Saccharomyces cerevisiae S288C: one gene and its partners. Changing the gene in region 2 together with the main gene of any one other region gives a genetic interaction. Each region holds a gene or a part of one and is shown on either strand. Other genes may lie near its edges. The genes, in order: FBP26, YGL185C and YKL162C.

Region 1 (3,600 bases), on a different chromosome or scaffold from region 2:
AATGTTGCATCCTCGGATACAAATGTAGACGAAGTGTTTTTTAATCGACATGATGAAGAAGAATCCTGGATACTGGACCCAATACAGGAAAAGTTGGCACATTTGATTCATTGGATAATGAACACTACTTCTCGGAAACAAACAATGAAAAACAAAATTCAATTTAGCTTAGAAGCCCAATTGGAAATATTACTTCTTATTAAATCTTCGTTCATTAAAGGTGGCATCAATGTTAAATACACTTTTCCAGCAATAATCACAAATTTTTGGAAACTGATGAGGAAATGCCGTATGATACAAGAGTACCTTTTGAAAAAAAGACCCGATAACAAGACGTTACTTTCCCATTATTCCAATCTTTTAAAGCAAATGTTTAAATTTGTTTCTCGTTGTATCAATGATATCTTTAATTCTTGCAACAACTCATGCACAGATCTGATTCTGAAACTGAATTTACAATGTGCCATTCTAGCTGATCAATTGCAATTAAACGAAATTTCATATGATTTTTTCTCACAGGCCTTCACAATATTTGAAGAGTCTCTAAGTGATTCAAAGACTCAGTTACAGGCTTTAATATATATTGCTCAGTCTTTACAAAAGACAAGATCACTCTACAAAGAAGCTTATTATGATTCTTTGATTGTCAGATGCACACTCCATGGATCCAAATTATTAAAGAAACAAGACCAATGTCGTGCTGTTTATTTATGCTCCCACCTCTGGTGGGCAACGGAAATTTCAAATATTGGTGAGGAAGAAGGTATCACAGACAACTTCTACAGAGATGGTAAACGGGTGTTAGAATGTCTACAAAGGTCTCTCCGTGTGGCGGATTCTATAATGGATAACGAACAGAGTTGTGAGCTAATGGTCGAAATATTAAATAGATGCCTCTACTATTTTATTCACGGGGATGAGTCCGAAACTCATATATCGATAAAATACATCAATGGTCTGATCGAACTAATCAAAACAAACTTAAAATCGCTAAAACTAGAAGATAACAGTGCCTCTATGATTACCAACTCAATCAGTGATTTGCACATCACCGGAGAAAATAATGTGAAGGCAAGCAGTAATGCTGACGATGGCTCTGTAATCACAGATAAGGAATCAAATGTTGCCATAGGATCGGATGGTACGTATATTCAATTAAATACTCTGAACGGATCTTCCACGCTAATACGCGGAGTCGTAGCAACTGCTTCAGGTAGTAAATTACTGCACCAACTGAAGTATATCCCAATCCACCATTTTCGACGCACTTGTGAGTACATTGAAAGTCAAAGAGAAGTTGACGATCGTTTCAAAGTCATATATGTATAGTTAAATAACGTACTTGCTCTTCGTACATGCCCAAGATAAAAAAAAACTACACAAATAAAGCTAATAAAAATTTACCTAAAGAAGGATCATAGATTAAGTGGAAGGAAACTTGTACATAATTCGAGTTTATTTTCAACTAAGATATCAAGGATTGTTTACTATAAAAACACTTAATTGGGTAATTTCTATTTTTTACTTTTTTTCTGTGTTAAAAAAATGGGTCGCGCCAATGCGCTCACAAATCTATTCTTATCCCTAACTTACATCTACATGTAAAGCGCCACTAAGAGAGCTATAGCTTATCATACATTTACATCAGGTAAAGTATCATTTTGGCCAGTGGATACGAATTTAATATATAATCTTTGCTTTCCCTTCGCTCTTAAATTCACCAAGCAAGTTTGTTAAGAAATAAAGGAAAGGGGGCTCAAAAACCGAATCAAGTAAGACAAGAAACATGGGGTACAGTACTATTTCCAACGATAATGATATCAAAGTATGTGTGATAATGGTTGGCCTACCAGCTAGAGGAAAGTCTTTTATTTCCCAAAAAATTATCAGGTACTTATCGTGGTTATCCATAAAAGCCAAGTGTTTTAATGTGGGAAATTACAGAAGAGACGTGAGTGGAAATGTCCCAATGGATGCTGAGTTTTTTAACTTCGAAAATACAGATAATTTTAAACTCAGAGAATTGGCTGCCCAAAATGCCATAAAAGATATTGTTAATTTTTTTACTAAAGAAGACGGATCTGTGGCAGTTTTCGATGCTACTAATAGTACACGTAAAAGAAGGAAATGGCTTAAAGATATATGTGAAAAGAATAATATTCAACCGATGTTTTTAGAGAGCTGGAGTAACGATCATGAACTGATTATAAATAACGCTAAGGATATCGGTAGCACATCTCCTGATTATGAAAACTCTGAACCTCATGTGGCGGAAGCTGATTTTTTGGAAAGAATTAGACAATATGAAAGATTTTATGAACCTTTGGACCCCCAAAAAGATAAGGATATGACGTTCATTAAGTTGGTCAATATTATTGAAGAAGTAGTAATTAATAAGATCAGAACATATTTGGAAAGTAGGATTGTATTTTATGTTATGAATATTCGTCCTAAACCAAAATATATCTGGCTCTCCCGTCACGGCGAATCGATCTATAACGTAGAGAAAAAAATTGGCGGGGATTCATCACTGTCTGAAAGAGGCTTTCAGTACGCTAAAAAATTGGAGCAGTTAGTGAAAGAGAGCGCAGGAGAAATAAATTTGACCGTGTGGACTTCCACCTTAAAAAGAACACAACAAACGGCAAATTATCTTCCCTATAAGAAACTGCAATGGAAAGCACTTGATGAATTAGACGCTGGCGTTTGTGACGGAATGACGTATGAGGAAATTGAAAAAGAATATCCTGAAGATTTTAAAGCACGTGATAATGACAAATACGAGTACAGATATCGTGGTGGAGAATCATACAGAGATGTAGTGATTCGTTTAGAGCCCGTCATTATGGAATTGGAGCGCCAAGAAAATGTTCTCATTATAACTCATCAAGCCGTACTTCGGTGTATATATGCATATTTTATGAACGTTCCACAGGAGGAATCCCCTTGGATGTCAATCCCACTACACACATTGATCAAGCTGGAGCCTAGGGCCTATGGCACAAAGGTCACCAAAATTAAAGCAAACATCCCTGCAGTGAGTACATATAAAGAGAAGGGTACAAGCCAAGTAGGTGAGCTTTCTCAAAGCTCAACTAAACTTCATCAACTGCTCAATGACTCTCCTTTGGAAGACAAATTTTAAATTTTACTTTTTATTTTTGTGTATCTTAAGTCCAAGCTTACTTGTGGCTGATACGCACAATCTTTTATGTACGAAAAGATCAGGAAACGTAGCATTGATGGTTTTTTATGTACGTCTGCAGCATTGTATGTAATTATTACCCAAACTAATTTTAAGTGAAATTGTAGAACGCCGCGGCGGAAGTATTTTTGAGTAAAAAAAAAAAAGTAAGATTCGAAAATGAAATTATACAGTACAGAAAACGTAAATATACAATAAAGGTTGAATAAACATACTAGATATCCTCCTTTCTTTTTGCATGTACATAGTACTGGTGTAAACTCGATATACCGATGGTCAGATTTTTTGGTTTAAACAAGAAAAAGAACGAAGAAAAGGAAAATACAGACTTGCCTGCAGACAATGAACAAAACGCAGCAGAAACGTCGTCTAGCAACGTATCTGGAAATGAAGAA
Region 2 (9,182 bases):
GGGCTCTTGATAATGCATTAGATGGATTCAGCGAGGATATAGACAAGCGTCTATCCACCAAAGATGGTCGCCTAGACCCATCACTACCTCCACTGGAAGATGATGTGGCCCTCAGTAACCTCGGATTTTCTCCTTGATTTTGAAAATACTGTTGATTGTTTGGAGAGAATTGCTCATTCAATAAGACGTTCTGATTTTGAGTTGAAGTTGGGTGCTTAATAGGATTTGGATTGAATCCTGCTTGAGCAACCTCGTCTGCCAATGAATTAACTTCAACCGATTTCTTCTCTACCACCACATATTCTCTTTCAAAGCTTCTATCTGAAACTAGGCTATTATGGTATTTATTATTTGAAGCCTTTTTATCTACGGCTTGTGTATGGTCTGTTTTAACGGCTGGGGCAGTTAATATATTGCTGTTCTTGAGGGCATCACTGAGCTCCGCGGGATTATCTGCCATTGATTGATGACCTGCAAGATTACTGTTCGGACTCTTTGGCTGTTTAGATAAATACTCAGAAACGAACATATTACTTTCTACAATACCTTTTGATTTGGATTCTAACTCAGGTAAATCATCTTCCAATTCATAAGAAGACAAGTCTTCGTTGACTACCTTGTTAGCAAAAAACTCCTCAAATCCTATTCTTTGGGCTGGATCAAATGTCAATAAACTACATATCAACTCTTTTAACTCTGGTTCAATATTGCAATATGAAGGAAACGTTATGACATCGTTTGCTCTTTTAATTTTCTTGAATAACTCCAAATGATTGGAAGCTCTAAACGGTGGGGTGCCACAGCACATTTCGAATACCACTGTACCGACAGACCACAGATCTGCTTTAGCGTTATATTTTTGATAATTCAAAATTTCTGGTGCCATATATAATGGTGAGCCACAAAGAGTTTCTGCTAATGACGTGTTTGGCAAAAATCTTGCAAACCCGAAATCTGCTATCTTTAAAATGGGTAAGTTGTAGATCCCAACAAATCCAAGTTCATGGAAGCTTTTTGAATCATGATATCCAATTAGGGGTGTAGATAATAGTAAGTTTTGAGGCTTGATGTCTCTATGAACCAAGTTTTTAGACCTCAAAAATTTCAAAGCGGACGCTAACTGCTGTAAATAACTCAAGACAAACGCTCTATGCAGGCCGTTATGGTTCTCACTCGGTGGAGGGTATTTTTCAAATACGGTCCTTAGTAGAGGATGATTCTCCATCAATTCTTTACGCCTTTTCAACAGAAATGTTAGGTCCCCAAGAGCACAGTACTCCATGATCAAATAAAAATCTGTTGATGTTCGTTCACAGTCAATAAGTCCGACGATATGAGGATGCTTGATTTTCTTCAAGATAGCGATTTCTATTTCCAAATTCTCTAGTAATTTCTTATTTTTTAATTTCGCCCTTGATACTTCCTTTATGGCTACATGCTGAGATTTGTCGGATGTCAGATGCCCTCTATATACAGTGGCAAACGAACCCTTTCCGATTTCTTTCTCAGCGGTGTAATTTCCTGCACTTGCCATTAGATTATGGTTCACAGAGGTTGTGTGATCTTTATTTTTAATGTCTCCCATTTTCTTAATTTCTCGTCTGGTGTTGTAAAAGAGATTTGAAAATATGGGGTAGCTTCAAATTCGTTTTGTGGAGATATCAATGATTATTCTCCTATCTCCTTTGCCTTATGTTTTTATTATATTATATGTTATTTTATTATGGGTACTATTACTACGATTGTATTATATCTTTTTATCTTCTATAGTACTGTTCTCTGTTTCCCCAGAAACTAAAAAGGGTAAAAGATGGCCTTGGTACTTAACTTAAAGGTGATGAAATGTGGCGTTCTAGAATTAACCTCGGCCTAAAAAATAAAAAGCTAAAAAAAAATAGTACGATCAGGAAGATATTAATAATATAAGCTCCTTTATGAGATGCTCGATTCCTTTTGTTGCCAACTAAATGACGCTTAGAATTCCATCGATTCCACGATCGATATAGTTACAAATCACAAACTGATGCTGATGGGGGAAATGGTTTAAGAAATCAGAGCCGAGCGGTTAAAAAGAAAAACAGATGCTTGAATACGAATGATATGCTTGCTTCTTTAACGGTATGGCTTTCCAGTAATAGTTACTCCGATAAGATTCATTACAGATACACGAAACGAACAAGGAAAAGATGATTAACGGGAAAAAAAGAGAGTTCCTTATCTCATTGATTTTAACTAGTGGGTTTTCCTTACATTACCGCCCAATCCCTTTTTTTTTTCTCGCTCTCACCGGCGGAGCGCGAGCGGAAAACGCCACCCAGGTGACTTTTGCGCTAAGTGTGGATCAAATACAGTGGTATTAGTCATTGATGTGCAGCGTAAAACGTCCGGAGCAGCTGTGTAATGCGGCTGTGTAGGGTGAATACAATAGAGAATATGACTAATTCTGGTATATAGTCGTTGTTTACAGATATCTTTCGTTACTTAGTGTCATTTAATTACTTAGTGTCACTCTATATGATATGTAATGCGGAGCAGCGGCAATGTATCTTATTTTTATTGTGTGTAGAAATAACCTTGTGGCAGGTTTCCTCCTTGCGACATTTGCTGAAAAGATAATGGCGCCTGTTGCTGTTGCTGCATCTGAAGCTGTTGCATCTGGATCTGCTGTGCTTGAGCCTGAGCCTGGGCCTGAGCCTGAGCCTGAGCCTGAACTTGAGCCTGTGCCTGTGCCTGTGCCTGAGCCTGAGCCTGTGCGACAGCAAGCTGTTGCTGTTGCTGTTGCTGCTGTTGCATAGCCATGGCGTATTGCTGCTGATCTACATATATCATTCCGGTAGCAGGATCGTAATACTGTTGAAGGGTACCATCGAAAACTGCTGGCTTTGCTTGTACAAAAGATGCTGAATTTGAAGTAAAATCTGGCGTGATTACATTTGTACCATCAAAAATAGCTGGCTGTGGGCCACTTGTTGTCGCACGTCTCCTGGGCAGGGGCGGAGTTGATGTTGTCGCTGCTGCCGATACACTATTTCTTGAACTTGAACTTTTTTCTAGATAATCGATTGCTCTATTGATATTTCCGTGAGCGGACGATAATGCATCTAAATTTTTGTTTGTATCACCGAAACCCATGTCCTTGAGTTCTGCCAGTTGCCTAGAATATCTGCTTCCACTGCTTTGGAATGAGTCCCTGGAACCGCCGTAGTCAGACCTATTATGGCCCCCTTTATAGAAAGAATGAGATCTGCTCCTGCTCCTACTTCTATTTCTTTCATCAAACCTGTCCGATTCCCCATCAAAATCATCCATTCTGGATCCAAAGTCTTCAGGCTTTATTTCATCATACCTGAATTTACCCAAAATATACTTGTCTCTAATGTAATGCTCCACGATGGCTTTGTCATCATCTCCATCAAAAGGAAAAGGGACATTTTTAGGATTCCAGAACCGAGCATTCCCCTTATTGCCTCCAAGACTCACTAATTCATCGATATCCTCTCTTGTCCATCTATCCATTGATAGTGATTTAACGTTAGAAAAGGCATCGTCGTCTCTGCTACCGAAAACTTTTCTATGAACAGAGGCACACCTACCACAAAGGAAAACCCCCAAATTAACTGAGCACCAAGTTGGGTAGAAATTACCACATTCACCGCATTTATTGGCATTCTCGGACGAATTAATCAACTCCTTTAATTCTCTGTCAACATGTTTTAAGCTATGGGAAGAACTCCTAAACCTCATTTTTGACTAAGTATAAATAAACTATAATCTGTGATTGACAGAACGCTGCCTCCATCTATATTAATGATTGATCAAGAGAAAATGTTCTTCTTCCACCCTTTTGTGAAGCATTTAGAGATCAACACTAACTTTCTTCAACTTACAATAATTTCCGGGTGCCCCCATTTATCGATTACCCGGATCCGCTTTGCATCATAGTGTGTCGTTGTCGAAACAAAAGCGCCGTATTATTTGGTCAACGTTTAATAAAGTAAAAGCAGCATTTGAGATGCTCTATACAACCTTCTTAATTGCAACCGACATAAAGGTATGTTTTTCTCTTCTTATTATGACAAGGGAAACTTGAAGAAGAATTCGTGTCTTGCCATAATTTCAGCATCATCGTCTCAACCTAAGCCTCTTCTCACGAAGGCACGCTCAAATATCTTTCTGGCTCTAAAAATCTTGAATAACGAACCGAATTTACCATCTTTCCTGCTTTTTTATGCGTCGAAAAAAAGTAAAATAACCGCCCAGATCACGAAATTGCATATAAAAGGCGATCTCCCGTCCCACCGTTATTCTTTGCGATATAGACTAAACGGCGGAAACTTTATGTGTAGTATCATAAACATTCAACAATGGTATGTCTAATAAAACCATCATGGTACACAGGACTGAACACTAACTTATAGACGGGTGCGTGCTACCCTCTTCTTATTATTAGGGGCCAAAGAGACAGACAGTATCACTCCAAGAGAAAAAGAACCGGATTCTGAACTTTTTTCAAGAGACGTACACATTCTACAACATCAAGGAATTAGAGAAAAGCATACCTAAAAAATGCGGAATCTCACCCATGATCGTTAAAGATTTAGTGCAACAAATGATTGATGAAGACGGCGTCATTTCGGTGGAAAAATGTGGTAATATTAACATCTACTGGTGCTTTAAAAATCAGACACTGCAAAAATTGTATGATTCAAGCGAGTTGATAAAAAAAAAGATACAGGAAGTAAAGTGTGATATTGCCACTTATAAACAAGAACTAGACAAAACGCTAGCAACTGGAAGGCGTAAAAAATTTACGGTAGGCCAAAAATCATACAATAGGGAGGCTCTACTGGAAAAGAGAAAAAAAATTCAGGATGAAATTAAGAAAAAGAGTAATAGTCTCCAAAAAATAGAAAGCATTAGATGGGATGCAGCAAAAATACAAGAGAATAAACAACAGATCCGCCTAAAAAAAGTGCATCTGGAGAAAACTACTGATAACATTGAGATTCTCATTGATTATTTATACAAGAAATTCTTTTTGAAGCCAGAACAGATAAGAAAAGAATTTGGAATTCCAGAAGAGTTCAAGGAATTTACGGAGGTTTAACCTTCATGCACTATACACGAAAGAACAAAAGTGTCTTGATTATTACATCTACATTTCCAGGCATAGAGCTTGCAGATTAGCCGCCCATAAATTTGCCACACTGTTTTCCGTGGCGCCACAGTCCGCGTTTGGTTATCCGGCTGACTCATTCTGACTCTTTTTTGGAAAGTGTGGCATGTGCTTCACACAATATAATTCCCGTGAGCACAGCATGCTTCGGGCCGAAGTCTGTTGGAGGCATATGCTCCTACCTTGGAAGACTCATCGCATCTCAAAAGTGTGTAAAGGGGCCTTCTGGCCATATATCCTCTGAGACCTGGTTGAAATGTGGCCAGAAGCAAAGCTGATAAAAACAACTGGCGCATACGTAGCTATATTTTAAATAAATAAATAAATAAATATATATATATATATATATATATATATACATATATATACAGTCATTGCCACACATCCCATAGCTCTGTGTGCTTACAGTTCATTAAAAACAAAAAATATCAAGCAAACAACAAAAGCATAGAAGCAAAAAGATGCCGATCAAGAGATTAGATACAGTTGTGGTAAATACCGGCTCTCAAAATGACCAACATTCAGCCTCCGTGCCACCGGTGTATTTGTCGACTACCTTCAAAGTGGACTTGAATAATGAAGATGCACAGAACTACGATTATTCCAGATCGGGAAACCCGACCAGAAGTGTCCTTCAACACCAGATTGGTAAGCTTTATCGTGTCCCACAGGAAAACGTATTAGCTGTGAGCAGTGGTATGACGGCGCTAGACGTCATCCTGCGTGGGCTCGTCTTACTTAACGGCACTGACAACCATACGCCAACAATAATAGCCGGCGATGATCTTTATGGAGGCACCCAAAGGCTGCTGAATTTTTTCAAGCAACAGAGTCATGCAGTCTCTGTTCATGTGGACACTTCCGATTTTGAAAAGTTCAAAACCGTTTTCCAGTCTTTAGATAAAGTTGATTGTGTTCTTCTAGAGTCTCCGACCAATCCGCTTTGCAAGGTTGTAGATATCCCTAGAATATTACGTTTTGTGAAATGCATATCTCCCGACACTACAGTTGTCGTTGATAATACTATGATGAGTGGACTCAATTGTAATCCTCTTCAACTGAATCCAGGCTGCGATGTCGTATACGAATCTGCTACCAAGTACTTGAATGGTCATCACGATTTGATGGGGGGTGTTATTATCAGCAAAACACCAGAAATAGCCTCGAAGCTTTACTTTGTCATTAATTCTACAGGAGCTGGATTATCCCCAATGGATTCTTGGCTACTTGTGAGGGGCCTAAAAACTCTAGGAGTTAGATTATATCAACAGCAGAGAAATGCTATGATATTGGCTCATTGGCTAGAAAATTCATGCGGATTCAAACCTACCAGAACAAACAAGGCTACGAAAACTAGATTTGTTGGATTACGCTCCAACCCGGATTTCAAGCTGCATAAATCGTTCAATAATGGCCCAGGTGCCGTGTTATCCTTCGAAACGGGGTCCTTCGAACATTCAAAGAGACTGGTCAGTTCCAAAAAACTGAGTATATGGGCTGTGACGGTATCTTTCGGGTGTGTAAATTCGCTTCTATCTATGCCTTGCAAAATGTCCCATGCTTCCATTGATCCCGAATTAAGGAAAGAGAGAGATTTTCCTGAAGATTTGGTTCGTCTTTGCTGCGGTATCGAAAATATAGTAGATTTGAAGAAAGATTTATTAGCGGCGATGGTTGACGCTGATATTATAGAAGTAAGAGAAAATGGCAAATATCTTTTCAACAAATTGAATAAGAACCTAGCTGTGAACACTACCATCGATGACCTGCATAAGCCTTTAAGTATTTACGAAGAATTTTACAATCAAGATCTCATCAGAAAGGACTCAGAATTGAATATTAAGAGTTCGAAATTGTAAGGGAAAATATGCATGTACCTTTTTTTTTTTTTTTTATAAGGTTCAAATCCAAAGATAGTAACTTTAAATAGTCAAGTATATAGACAGAATTTCAAGAACAGTAAGTATATTAAACTTTTACAGCCTTTCGGGCTGTTCCGTAAGCTCTTACTACTACCCTTGGGAAACGCACGCGCGAAGGAGGAAAGTTTGCCTCAATGAACGTGTGTAATGGCGGTCGTAAAAGGAATATAGAAATAGCTGTGCTTTTATAACTTCACTCGACAATGGGTTGACAGCAGATTTAGAAGGAAAAGAGCATACAAAAAATGTGCGATTCTCCTGCAACGACTGGAAAGCCTACTATTCTTTTCATCGCAGATCCGTGCGAAACATCAGCCACACTTAATTCCAAGGCATTCAAAGAGAAGTTCAGGATCTTGCGCTATCAGCTGGACACCAAAGAAGCATTTCTTAACTTTTTAGAAAGGCATGAACAAGACAAAATATGTGCCATTTATGCTGGGTTTCCGGCATTCAAAAAAATCGGTGGGATGACTCGAAGTATCATCGAACACAAGTCATTTCCAAGGAAAAATTTAAAATGTATCGTGCTTTGCTCAAGAGGTTACGACGGATGGGATCTGGATACATTACGCAAGCATGAAATTCGATTATACAACTACCAAGACGATGAAAATGAAAAATTGATAGACGATTTAAAGCTTCATCAAGTCGGTAATGATGTGGCAGATTGTGCCTTGTGGCACATTCTGGAGGGCTTTAGAAAGTTCTCCTATTACCAAAAACTTAGTAGAGAAACTGGAAATACATTAACTGCAAGGGCGAAAGCTGCAGAAAAGAGCGGATTTGCTTTTGGCCATGAACTGGGGAATATGTTTGCTGAATCACCAAGAGGAAAGAAATGCTTAATTCTTGGTTTAGGAAGTATTGGAAAGCAAGTAGCCTACAAGTTGCAATACGGGCTAGGAATGGAAATACATTATTGCAAAAGAAGCGAAGATTGCACAATGAGTCAAAACGAAAGCTGGAAATTTCATTTGCTAGATGAAACAATATATGCAAAACTATACCAGTTTCATGCAATCGTGGTCACATTGCCGGGAACTCCACAAACAGAACATTTAATCAACAGGAAATTTTTGGAACACTGCAATCCAGGCCTAATTTTAGTCAACTTGGGAAGAGGTAAAATTTTGGACTTGCGGGCTGTTTCTGACGCCTTGGTAACGGGACGAATCAACCATCTCGGTTTAGACGTCTTTAATAAAGAACCAGAAATAGATGAAAAAATCAGATCTTCTGATAGACTTACTTCAATTACTCCGCATTTGGGTAGTGCGACAAAGGATGTTTTTGAGCAAAGTTGTGAACTGGCATTGACAAGAATCTTACGGGTAGTGTCTGGGGAAGCCGCAAGCGATGAGCATTTCTCCCGTGTAGTTTGATAGTAAGAGACGTAAGAACCTTATGTTAACATACCTATATATACATATACGTCAACACACCAAGAAAAAAGAGCAGTGCGAGTTTTCGTATGCATTTGACTTCAAAAAGAAGTCAACATTAAGTGCCGTTTTTGTTTCGACAATGGATTGTAGTACAGTGCCCCGTAGGTGTATGACTCGTACTTGCGTGTAAGTAAATTTCGGATTTGTTCGCCGCACCTTATCTCACCTGAAATTTTCTGCGTCAGGCTGCTTTGATGGTGTCTAAGAGAAGGCCATTAAAAAAGAGAACAGATGTTGAGGTTCTCAGTATAAAAATATTACTGTTGAATATTATTAGCTTTATAGAGTATTTATCAAAGAACAGGACTTGAAAAACTTCGATCATAGATGAATAGGGACAACATGGACACAACAAAGCGCAAAGAAGATCATACAAAGCATACTACTGATGTAATAGAATTTTACGAAGAAGGAACCGCAGCTTCTTCTTTAAACATAGCCACAGAAAAGGCCAACTCAAGTCCGTCCATTTTGAGAAGAATTATCAACAGGGCGGCATGGCTTTCTAAGAAAGTGGACGCAATGGGAGTAGAGTCTACCGGTATTCAGAGGATATCTCCCTATGAACGAGGAACATCAAAGAAACAATTTTTGCATGTCGCGGGGCTATGGTTGAGTGCCACAGGTGGTTTGTCT
Region 3 (9,018 bases), on a different chromosome or scaffold from region 2:
CCACGGCCAGAATTGACTTCTTCGACGGCGTCAAACCAATCACTATATACATCAACAGGCTGTGATAATGAATTTATGCGCGTTTGGAACGACTGCCCACAAATCTTGCACGATAAAGTTCCTATACTATTTTTTTTGTCCAGAGTGCATGAAACTGATTTTTCATGATTACAAAATAAACAATTGAATTTCGTATCTAATTTTTGGACCAGTCTCTTGGTAGGCTTTCTTGTTGACTTCTTTCTTTTACCCATGGCTCGTTAATTGTTTTCAGTGTTTTTTATGACATTCTTCTTCATAATTCTCCCCATCTTTATTACTATTCCTTTTCCAATTATTTGTAGATTATTGCTTTACCAAAGTTTAATCATTTTAAACGTTTTTGTTTCTTCCGTTTTCAGAATTTTTACAATTTGTCACCGAAATAGCAGTTTTTGTTTAATTTTAACGCTATGGGGTAAAAATTTTGGGCCCAATTTCAACTGAAAGAAGAGATATTTTAAATATGATAAGATAATCTTATAACTACGAATTTATTATTTTGTACGTGTCATAATAAATAAGGAAGTGCCTGAAGAGCGTTAAGTAACTTTGGAATCTTCGTTATGAAAACATTGGCTATTTGTTTCAGAAAAAAGCCGTTTAAGTACTTAAAAGAATAGTTATGTTTATATAGGTATGGTGACGAGGCTCTACATAGGACTAATAATGGTGATTTCCCGTCCAGTTTGGTTTACCCTCGTACCATCAAAAGCCTACAAATTCACAGGAAAATCGAAAAAAGATCCTTTCAAAGGTATTTTTCGTCGTGGTTTATTTCCAATGTTGTCATCTTTTTGTCTAACATCTCTCCCACCGATTTTGTCTCACTAACGCGATGATTTTGAATAGGAATGTAGTTTGAACTGTGAAATCATGACAGAATAAGCATGTTACATATAAATATTGGTTACCGTATTTCTTACGCTAGCATACTTCAAGTGTCTTTTGTACTTCTTAAGTTCTTTTGTTTTTGGATAATGATTTAATGCGACACATTGAAAAGGATAATGAATTCTTGCTGGGAACCTCGAACCAAATATTGTGACCTGGAAATGTTGTGTGCAAGACACCGTGAAATCACGCAATAAGACATATCTATACCGTGACAACTCCAAAAAATCCTAAAAACGGCAATTACGTGCAGAAGAATAACGGAAGTTCAGATAGTGGAGAGAAGAATTTATTCTTGTCCCTAAAATGCCCACCAGAGCAGCACTTCTAGTAAGCACATGCATGCTCCACCGCAAATCATCATATTGACGGTATCACACTATAAAAGAATAAAACATGTTGCAAGGCATAATTACTACCGAATTGCAAAAAATTGAACACCAACTTAGCGTGGTTCTATCAGAGAACGACATATCAATTCCTCACAATGAAAAACTAACTGACTAGAATACTTCCACTTTGGTGCCGCATTTGATGAAACAGCAAATAATACCTACACTTAAGTTGAATGAAGATTTCGTTTTCTTTGAGATAGCTCGAGGACATTCACGAAAGAAAAAATTTTAAAGAACAGTTTATAAGCTCTTTTTTAGAATCCTATTCTGTTTACTTCACTGTTCACTTACTTTCGGTCCCACATCTACAAAACATCTACAACAAGAACGTGGGCGATACAGCAAAAAATCACTTGAAATAACAGAATCAAGTTTCTTATCCGATTTCCTACTTTTGAGCTCCGGCTTATGTTGAAGATGTTACTTTTCTTTGTCTCTAAGTGATCTTTATTTTTCTGGCTCCAGTGAAATTTGGTAATAGCATAGTCACTTCAACTAAAGTCTGATAGTAATACTTGCAAATATTGCAAAACTTGGAAGAATGTTAATGAATCATTTCTTGCACCATTCTTTCAATCATCTCAATCTCCTGCTGTGATGTTTAAGTATAACATTGAAGACTATGCCCTAATTTCCAATGTTATTTAGTTTTAAGCATATCTTTGTTTCTAACAGGAAACTCAGGCCCACATCCGCAAAAAAATATGTGCCAAAAAACTTTCAACACTTCAAAGATACTTACCACTGCAGGAAAATAATCTACGTGTAACGGTTTGAAAATAAATTTGACTTCATAATTGGACATAAGTACTCCATCGCCATCCCTTTTTAAAGAAGTTTCCACAAGAATGAATGGCTAATCGCAACTAAATCTTTTCCTTGCAAACGTAACACAGTATCGACATTTTCTTACTCAATCCAACGAAGGAATAACCTATCTAAAAAATAAACGCCGTAGTTTTCAGCCCACAAGACGTCATTAAAAGATTTGTTAATTATAAAAATAGAAATATTTCTACCAGCATGATTATTCGTTACTTGAAAGTCCCCAATAAATTTCACTGTTTCCGTTAACTGTTGTAGTTATTAAACGCAGCAAACAGATTATTTTGAACAACACCGGAGAAACACGCGCAGACCCATTCGAGTTAAAAATAGTAACTCGCGATCAATCAATGCAGGAAGCACCGTAGGAATTAGTAAGAACTCGTATTTTGATTGAAAATGCCATGAAAGCAATTGACTTGCTGCAGTAAAAAGCGCTGCCACAAACTTTGTAATTTTCGACAATGACGTTCTTTTCAGATGGTTACTGTCTTTTTTTGGAAGAAACAAAAGAAGGTACTTTTATGATGTTATACTAGGCAAAAAGCCTATTTAATGTAAGTCCTAATTGTCGTTTGAGACTGGATGAAAAGGGACAAAATGGAAGGATAACTAAAGGTGACTTACCGCCAGATTAATTCGGCCTGGAATAGTTTGATATCGAAGAAAGATTCACAATTAAATGGCGACTGACACCGAGAGGTGTATTTTCCGTGCATTCGGCCAAGATTTTATCCTAAATAAACATTTTCATTTGACAGGTAAGATTGGTCGGGGCTCACACAGCCTTATTTGTTCTTCAACTTACACAGAATCGAACGAGGAAACTCACGTGGCTATCAGAAAAATACCAAACGCGTTTGGCAATAAACTATCTTGCAAGAGAACTCTTCGTGAATTGAAACTACTAAGACATTTAAGAGGGCACCCAAATATAGTGTGGCTCTTCGATACTGATATAGTATTTTACCCAAATGGGGCACTAAATGGCGTTTATTTATATGAAGAACTAATGGAATGTGACCTTTCTCAAATTATAAGGTCCGAACAACGCCTGGAAGACGCACACTTTCAAAGCTTCATATATCAGATACTGTGTGCTCTGAAATACATACATTCTGCTAATGTTTTACATTGTGACCTGAAACCAAAAAACTTACTTGTTAATAGTGATTGCCAACTAAAAATTTGTAATTTTGGGCTATCGTGTAGTTATTCAGAAAACCACAAGGTTAACGACGGCTTCATTAAGGGTTATATAACCTCGATATGGTATAAAGCACCAGAAATTTTGCTGAATTATCAAGAATGCACAAAAGCTGTCGATATTTGGTCAACAGGCTGTATCTTGGCCGAACTACTTGGTAGGAAACCAATGTTTGAAGGGAAGGATTATGTAGATCATTTGAATCATATTCTACAAATACTTGGAACACCACCTGAGGAAACATTGCAGGAAATTGCCTCTCAAAAGGTGTATAATTATATCTTTCAGTTCGGTAATATCCCGGGAAGATCGTTTGAAAGCATACTACCTGGTGCTAATCCAGAAGCGCTTGAATTGCTAAAGAAAATGCTAGAATTTGATCCTAAAAAAAGGATTACTGTAGAGGATGCACTAGAGCATCCATATTTGTCAATGTGGCATGATATAGATGAGGAATTCTCATGTCAAAAGACCTTTAGATTCGAATTCGAGCATATCGAAAGTATGGCGGAATTAGGAAACGAAGTTATAAAGGAAGTATTTGATTTCAGGAAAGTTGTTAGAAAACATCCTATTAGCGGTGATTCCCCATCATCATCACTATCTTTAGAGGATGCCATTCCTCAAGAAGTTGTACAGGTCCATCCTTCTAGGAAAGTTTTACCCAGTTATAGTCCTGAATTTTCCTATGTAAGCCAACTTCCATCACTAACTACAACCCAGCCATATCAAAACCTTATGGGAATAAGCTCTAATTCATTTCAGGGTGTTAACTAAAAGGAAAACACCTTCAAACAAGATACTAAGCATGAAAATAGTGAACTACTGAACGGACCTACTGAGCCAAATATAACAAAAATGAGCCCAGTTTCATCGTCTCCCCCAGGTCACGATATAAATGTCAATGATGGTACAAACCAAAATACAAATGAGGATGACAGCGATTTTTTCTTCGACCTAGAAAAAGAACTTGAATTATTTAGACGATAAATTTTTGTAGCAGAAAACCACAACTAATAGATGCGCACATACACTATCTATAATGAATATGTAAAATGCCTGTTCACCTTCTTAATTATTGGTATATACTTCAAATATTGCAAAAAGAGAAAGTCCTCTCGGCGGTTTTGCAGTTCCTTCCGAAAGCGGGAAAAACCAAAATGTGAGAAAGTAGGATACACCATTGCGTAGATTCGCGATGATCCGAATATAAACATGATTCCCTCGTCAGTCCTCTCTCAAGTTTTCTTTCCCGTTTTAAATAGCTTACTAATATTTTCACAAAAAAGTTGATATCATTTAAAGGTGCTTTTGGCGGGATTGAATGATGAAAAGATTACACCCCTTGAGAATTCAAGTTCATCTGAAATCTGATTACCCACTGTTTACTTTCGAGCAATTACTCTCTACAAATGGGATAAGAAGAGGCCAAACTGCGAGAATTTCTTTGAAAGATTACATAGAGTGGCAAAATTTCCCAAACATAATGAAAAGAGAAAATTTTTTTACGCAAAGGAAGCCTGTAACTACAACCGCAAAAGAAGAACCCTTTTCATTTGATAACATTCTTGACTGTGAGCCACAATTTAGCAAATGCCTTGCCAAATGGCTACTGGTTAATTACAAATTAAATGACTATCCTTATTACGATCTTAACATTGTGAATATTTACACGGATTTACCCCAAGCAATTCAGATTTGCAAAAATTTAATGTCATATCTCAAGTCTACTTTATCTGATAACATGTTCCAGAAAATAAAATATTTCATGGTACCTCTATACAAGTGTGACAAAATACCTTCGAAGCTCTTAGACGGAATACCTGGATCAGTCAGTTTGGTACAAGATTATCCGGTTTCCCCATATTTTTTACAGAAAAAATTTCACATAGAGGATCCAATCCAAATTTTGATGCTTAATGATGTTATAAAATACACAACCCACGATTTAGTAAGGTACTCTTCAGATGACAAAGGGTGGCAACAGTGCTTTGTGGATATCAATAAGAATGGACAAAAATCCAAGAGCTTTGATAGCGCCATTGACTACTCATGTGAACTTGCATTAGAACAAATGTTCAATGATCGATCCCATGTAAGTCCTGGTAAAGAACTTTATATCCCCACTAAATTAATTGAGATATTGATGACAATCAAGAATAATATTCCAGAACATAGACTTTTCATTGTAGACACCCCGCAAAGATCGAGCCCAACAATAATATCGTTATTAAAGAGTTTAATAAGCCCACGGCCGACGGGATCTAGCCAGATAGTACAGCCATATTCGGATTCAATATTTTCAGACAAACGGAGTGGAAGAATATGCTTCATGACGGACTTCTTACAGTTACAGAACATTTATAATGGTATTAACAGTTCTTCTAGTAGCTGCGAAGTCGAAGACGTTGCTGATTTTGTTGAAAAATGGATTAGCCCAAGTGAGAGAAGCACACTTTCGTCGCAGAATGGAAATAGGCCTCAACTAGAAGACATAAAAAATAGCTCTTTGGCGGTGCTACACTCCACGTGATTTCTTTTATTTCGTTGAATTAAAATGAAGACGTTTTTTACAGTAAGCGACCTTAATCTTTGTTTCTATTATCTACACTTTTACGTTTAGTATATTCATTTCATAGGCAGTAGGCATTCTTTTAAGAAAAACATAGCGCGCATATCTTCTCCTCTTTTGTTTCGCAACTCCCAAACAAGATATCAATTTCCCACCACTCTAACGAATGCGAATAGTAACCCCATATTTAAATAATACTATAAGGGTATTCGTACGAGGTAGGATTTTCAGTAGACCAAATAGCCTTCAACGACATCATAAGTACACACTGAGTCTAAGCATTGAACTTTCATATGAATATATGGGACTATAAGAGATGGGTGTGAAGAGAAAGACAAATTTGGGTTGAAGAGTTATAATTAGCCTTATGCAGGTCTCGCTCGCATATTCTTAACTCAATAGGAGCAATTTCTTCCATAAGCTTATATCCATATCCGGTCATTTTCTTCATTTGTGCCTGTAAACGCATATGATTTTTTTTTCTTAGGCACGTTCTGCGTGAAAATTTCCTGTTGCGGATGAGTAAGGTGTTCGTTCTACTTCAAAACTCCGTCGCAAATTTAAGTTTAATCTTGTAAATTGCCTAATACGTCATACGTCAATACATGATTCGCGTTCTTTTTTTTCCATCTTGCTAACGCGAACCTAAACGGTGCGACAAAAAGCCACTGGGCTTAATCGCTTAACAGAGCTACCGATTCTGCTTGATCTATTGACAATTTAACGTAGACTACGTAAAAAGTATATATGCATATATTAATCGATGCCTGCGCAATGTTGCTAACACTTTTCCACTTTATGTCGCTATCTTGCCCTCTTTAAGGAAGTTGCATCCTTTTATTTAGTATATTTTTTATATTCACAGAAGTTCAGAGAGTAAAAGTACAACATAATTACTAAATGGTGTCTTTTTCGGGAAAGGAAAGCCATGTAGCCCAAATATATTGGTTTGATAACAGTTTCACTATACTGTTTCTGCCCAACAGTATATGCCAAGTGAGCCATGGTCAACCTTAACTCCTTCTGCTACTACCTCATGCGGCGCTACTGAATTTACTTCCTTCTTCGGTATCACTGTCCAAACAATTACAACAGGATCTACCACGGTTAAGAGAGACGTTTTTTCTTAGATCGTTGACGGCCAAATTGAAATCATTGCTATCCCCACAAAAAACAGTGCATGTACTTTGATTAGTAAAAAAAATACTGAATCACGACCACTTTAATCGGAACCTACATAGATACGATTAAAGAGGGAGCCACAGCAATCACTGTTACTGACTTCTCTATTTATTCCGATAAAAAAAGCACCTCTACATTGCCGTTATCGCTTAGTATTTCTTCTGCCATCTCTTTTTTCTTTTCTTACGTTACATGTCAAGGCATTGCTGCTGTTTCTAAAAAAAAAGCTGTCGTAGCAGTGACAGCGCTTTGAAAGTAACTTTGAAGAGCGGCATTTTGACAGATAGCAAGGGCAGCATCTGTTCTACTGTTGCCAACAGACAATTCCAATTCGATGACCCTCCACCACAAGTTGGTGTTATCTATGCTCCTGGGGTTGTCTATCACACCAGAAGGGGATCTGCCCCTTAGTGGCCAAGATATCTTTTATCAATACTCGTTCAGCAGTTTTTACAATATACACGACGAAAGGATTAGAGAACAATGAAGTTAAGTCTACCTACAAGCTTTTTCCTTGGTCAGTTGCTAAACTATCTTTTGGCATTCCAGCTGAGTGCTTTTCTATACCTTAAGCGCTCCTTTGCTATCGCAGCTAGCTTCACAAATTTTTTCTCAGGGAAAGCTTCTGCAATTGCGACTAAGTTGAAAGATAAAATATAAAGTATTATAAACGATATTTTTATAGCAGGACCACCTAATAGCATACAAATAGCTATAAGTATGTTTGATTCTGAATTATATTTAGGTAATTATGTATCATAAAATTTTTTTTTTTACAATTAAAAAGGTACGACATGTAAATCTGAGTAAATTCTATAACTATTTTTATTATAGCGACGAACGATAATGTGTGAAAACGTGATGCTTTCTCGAGCAAACGCTAAATGAATGCAAAGAACGAGGAAAGGTTTGGAAATAAAGACATGCTAAATGAAAAGGATGCCATAAAACAAGTTTATGTGTGGGGAATGAGAGTGGCAACTAATTCGTGAAGTTAAAGGAGGACGACTCCGATTGATCGATGCATCGTTCAACAGTCAATTAAATCTATAGCTTGCAAATAAACTTCATGGCACTGAGAACCAATGTGCTTATCATACAAGTTATAGAAGTCACCAGACAAACATTGGTAAAAAGTATCCTGGTCACCAAGAGCTAAGTTACCTTCTGGGGTGATGGACCAACCAGCAGCATAGATAGCACCAGCTTGTGGTGGAGGACCATCGAATTGGAACTGTCTGTTGGCAACGATAGAGCCAATTCTACCCTTCCTATCGGTTAAGATACCCTTGCTTAAACTCATTGACAAGGTACTATTGTTATTACAGGAAACAACATCGACTGGATCGTTAGCGTCTTTCACTTCAGCAGTAGCCTGGACTTGGCCATCACTTACTTGACTAGCGCCACTGGTAGTTTTAGATGCTTGTATCTGCCCATCTGTAATTTGGGATGCAGCAGCCTTAGTAGAGGTAGTGGCCTGAACTTGGCCGTCAGAAATCTGAGAGGCAGCGGCAGCAGTAGACTTGGCAGCTTGAACTTGACCATCAGTTATTTGAGAAACGGCAGCGGCAGTAGACTTAGCAGCTTGAACTTGACCGTCAGTTATTTGAGAAACGGCAGCGGCAGTAGACTTAGCAGCTTGAACTTGACCGTCAGTTATTTGGGAAACAGCAGCGGCAGTAGACTTAGCAGCTTGAACTTGACCGTCAGTTATTTGAGAAACAGCAGCAGCGGTGGATTTCTTAGAAACAGCAGCAGTAGTAGTGGCAGCCTGTACTTGACCATCACCTATCTGAGAGGCGGCTCTCTTTGCTTTAGATGAGGCGACGGAGGAAGCACTGGTAGCCACGGCTTCAATAGCAATACCGAAACTCGAAGAGTAATCTGTTATACCACCCTTG

The links.
Region 1: mutations in YGL185C (region 2) and FBP26 together harm fitness more than expected from each alone (negative genetic interaction), as found in Saccharomyces cerevisiae (one large-scale study listed by BioGRID).
Region 3: mutations in YGL185C (region 2) and YKL162C together harm fitness more than expected from each alone (negative genetic interaction), as found in Saccharomyces cerevisiae (one large-scale study listed by BioGRID).

Annotation. Positions count from the first base shown.
Region 1 is NC_001142.9:128,830-132,429, reverse strand, and holds FBP26 (fructose-2,6-bisphosphatase), read left to right. Parts: upstream 1-1,786; coding exon 1,787-3,145; downstream 3,146-3,600. Other genes in the region: retromer subunit VPS35, read left to right, coding at 1-1,329; SSY5 (Ssy5p), read left to right, coding at 3,478-3,600. UniProt on the Saccharomyces cerevisiae protein: Monofunctional, high-specificity fructose-2,6-bisphosphatase, which releases phosphate from the 2-position of fructose 2,6-bisphosphate. Has no detectable 6-phosphofructo-2-kinase activity.
Region 2 is NC_001139.9:152,468-161,649, reverse strand, and holds YGL185C (putative hydroxyacid dehydrogenase), read left to right. Parts: upstream 1-7,343; coding exon 7,344-8,483; downstream 8,484-9,182. Other genes in the region: serine/threonine protein kinase ATG1, read right to left, coding at 1-1,585; GTS1 (Gts1p), read right to left, coding at 2,554-3,744; MND1 (Mnd1p), read left to right, coding at 4,365-4,367, 4,451-5,107; cystathionine beta-lyase STR3, read left to right, coding at 5,638-7,035; TPN1 (Tpn1p), read left to right, coding at 8,874-9,182.
Region 3 is NC_001143.9:144,505-153,522, reverse strand, and holds YKL162C (type II protein arginine methyltransferase), read left to right. Parts: upstream 1-4,684; coding exon 4,685-5,893; downstream 5,894-9,018. Other genes in the region: ELF1 (Elf1p), read right to left, coding at 1-254; putative protein kinase KDX1, read left to right, coding at 2,836-4,137; PIR3 (beta-1,3-glucan linked protein), read right to left, coding at 8,145-9,018. UniProt on the Saccharomyces cerevisiae protein: Arginine methyltransferase involved in the assembly or stability of mitochondrial NADH:ubiquinone oxidoreductase complex (complex I).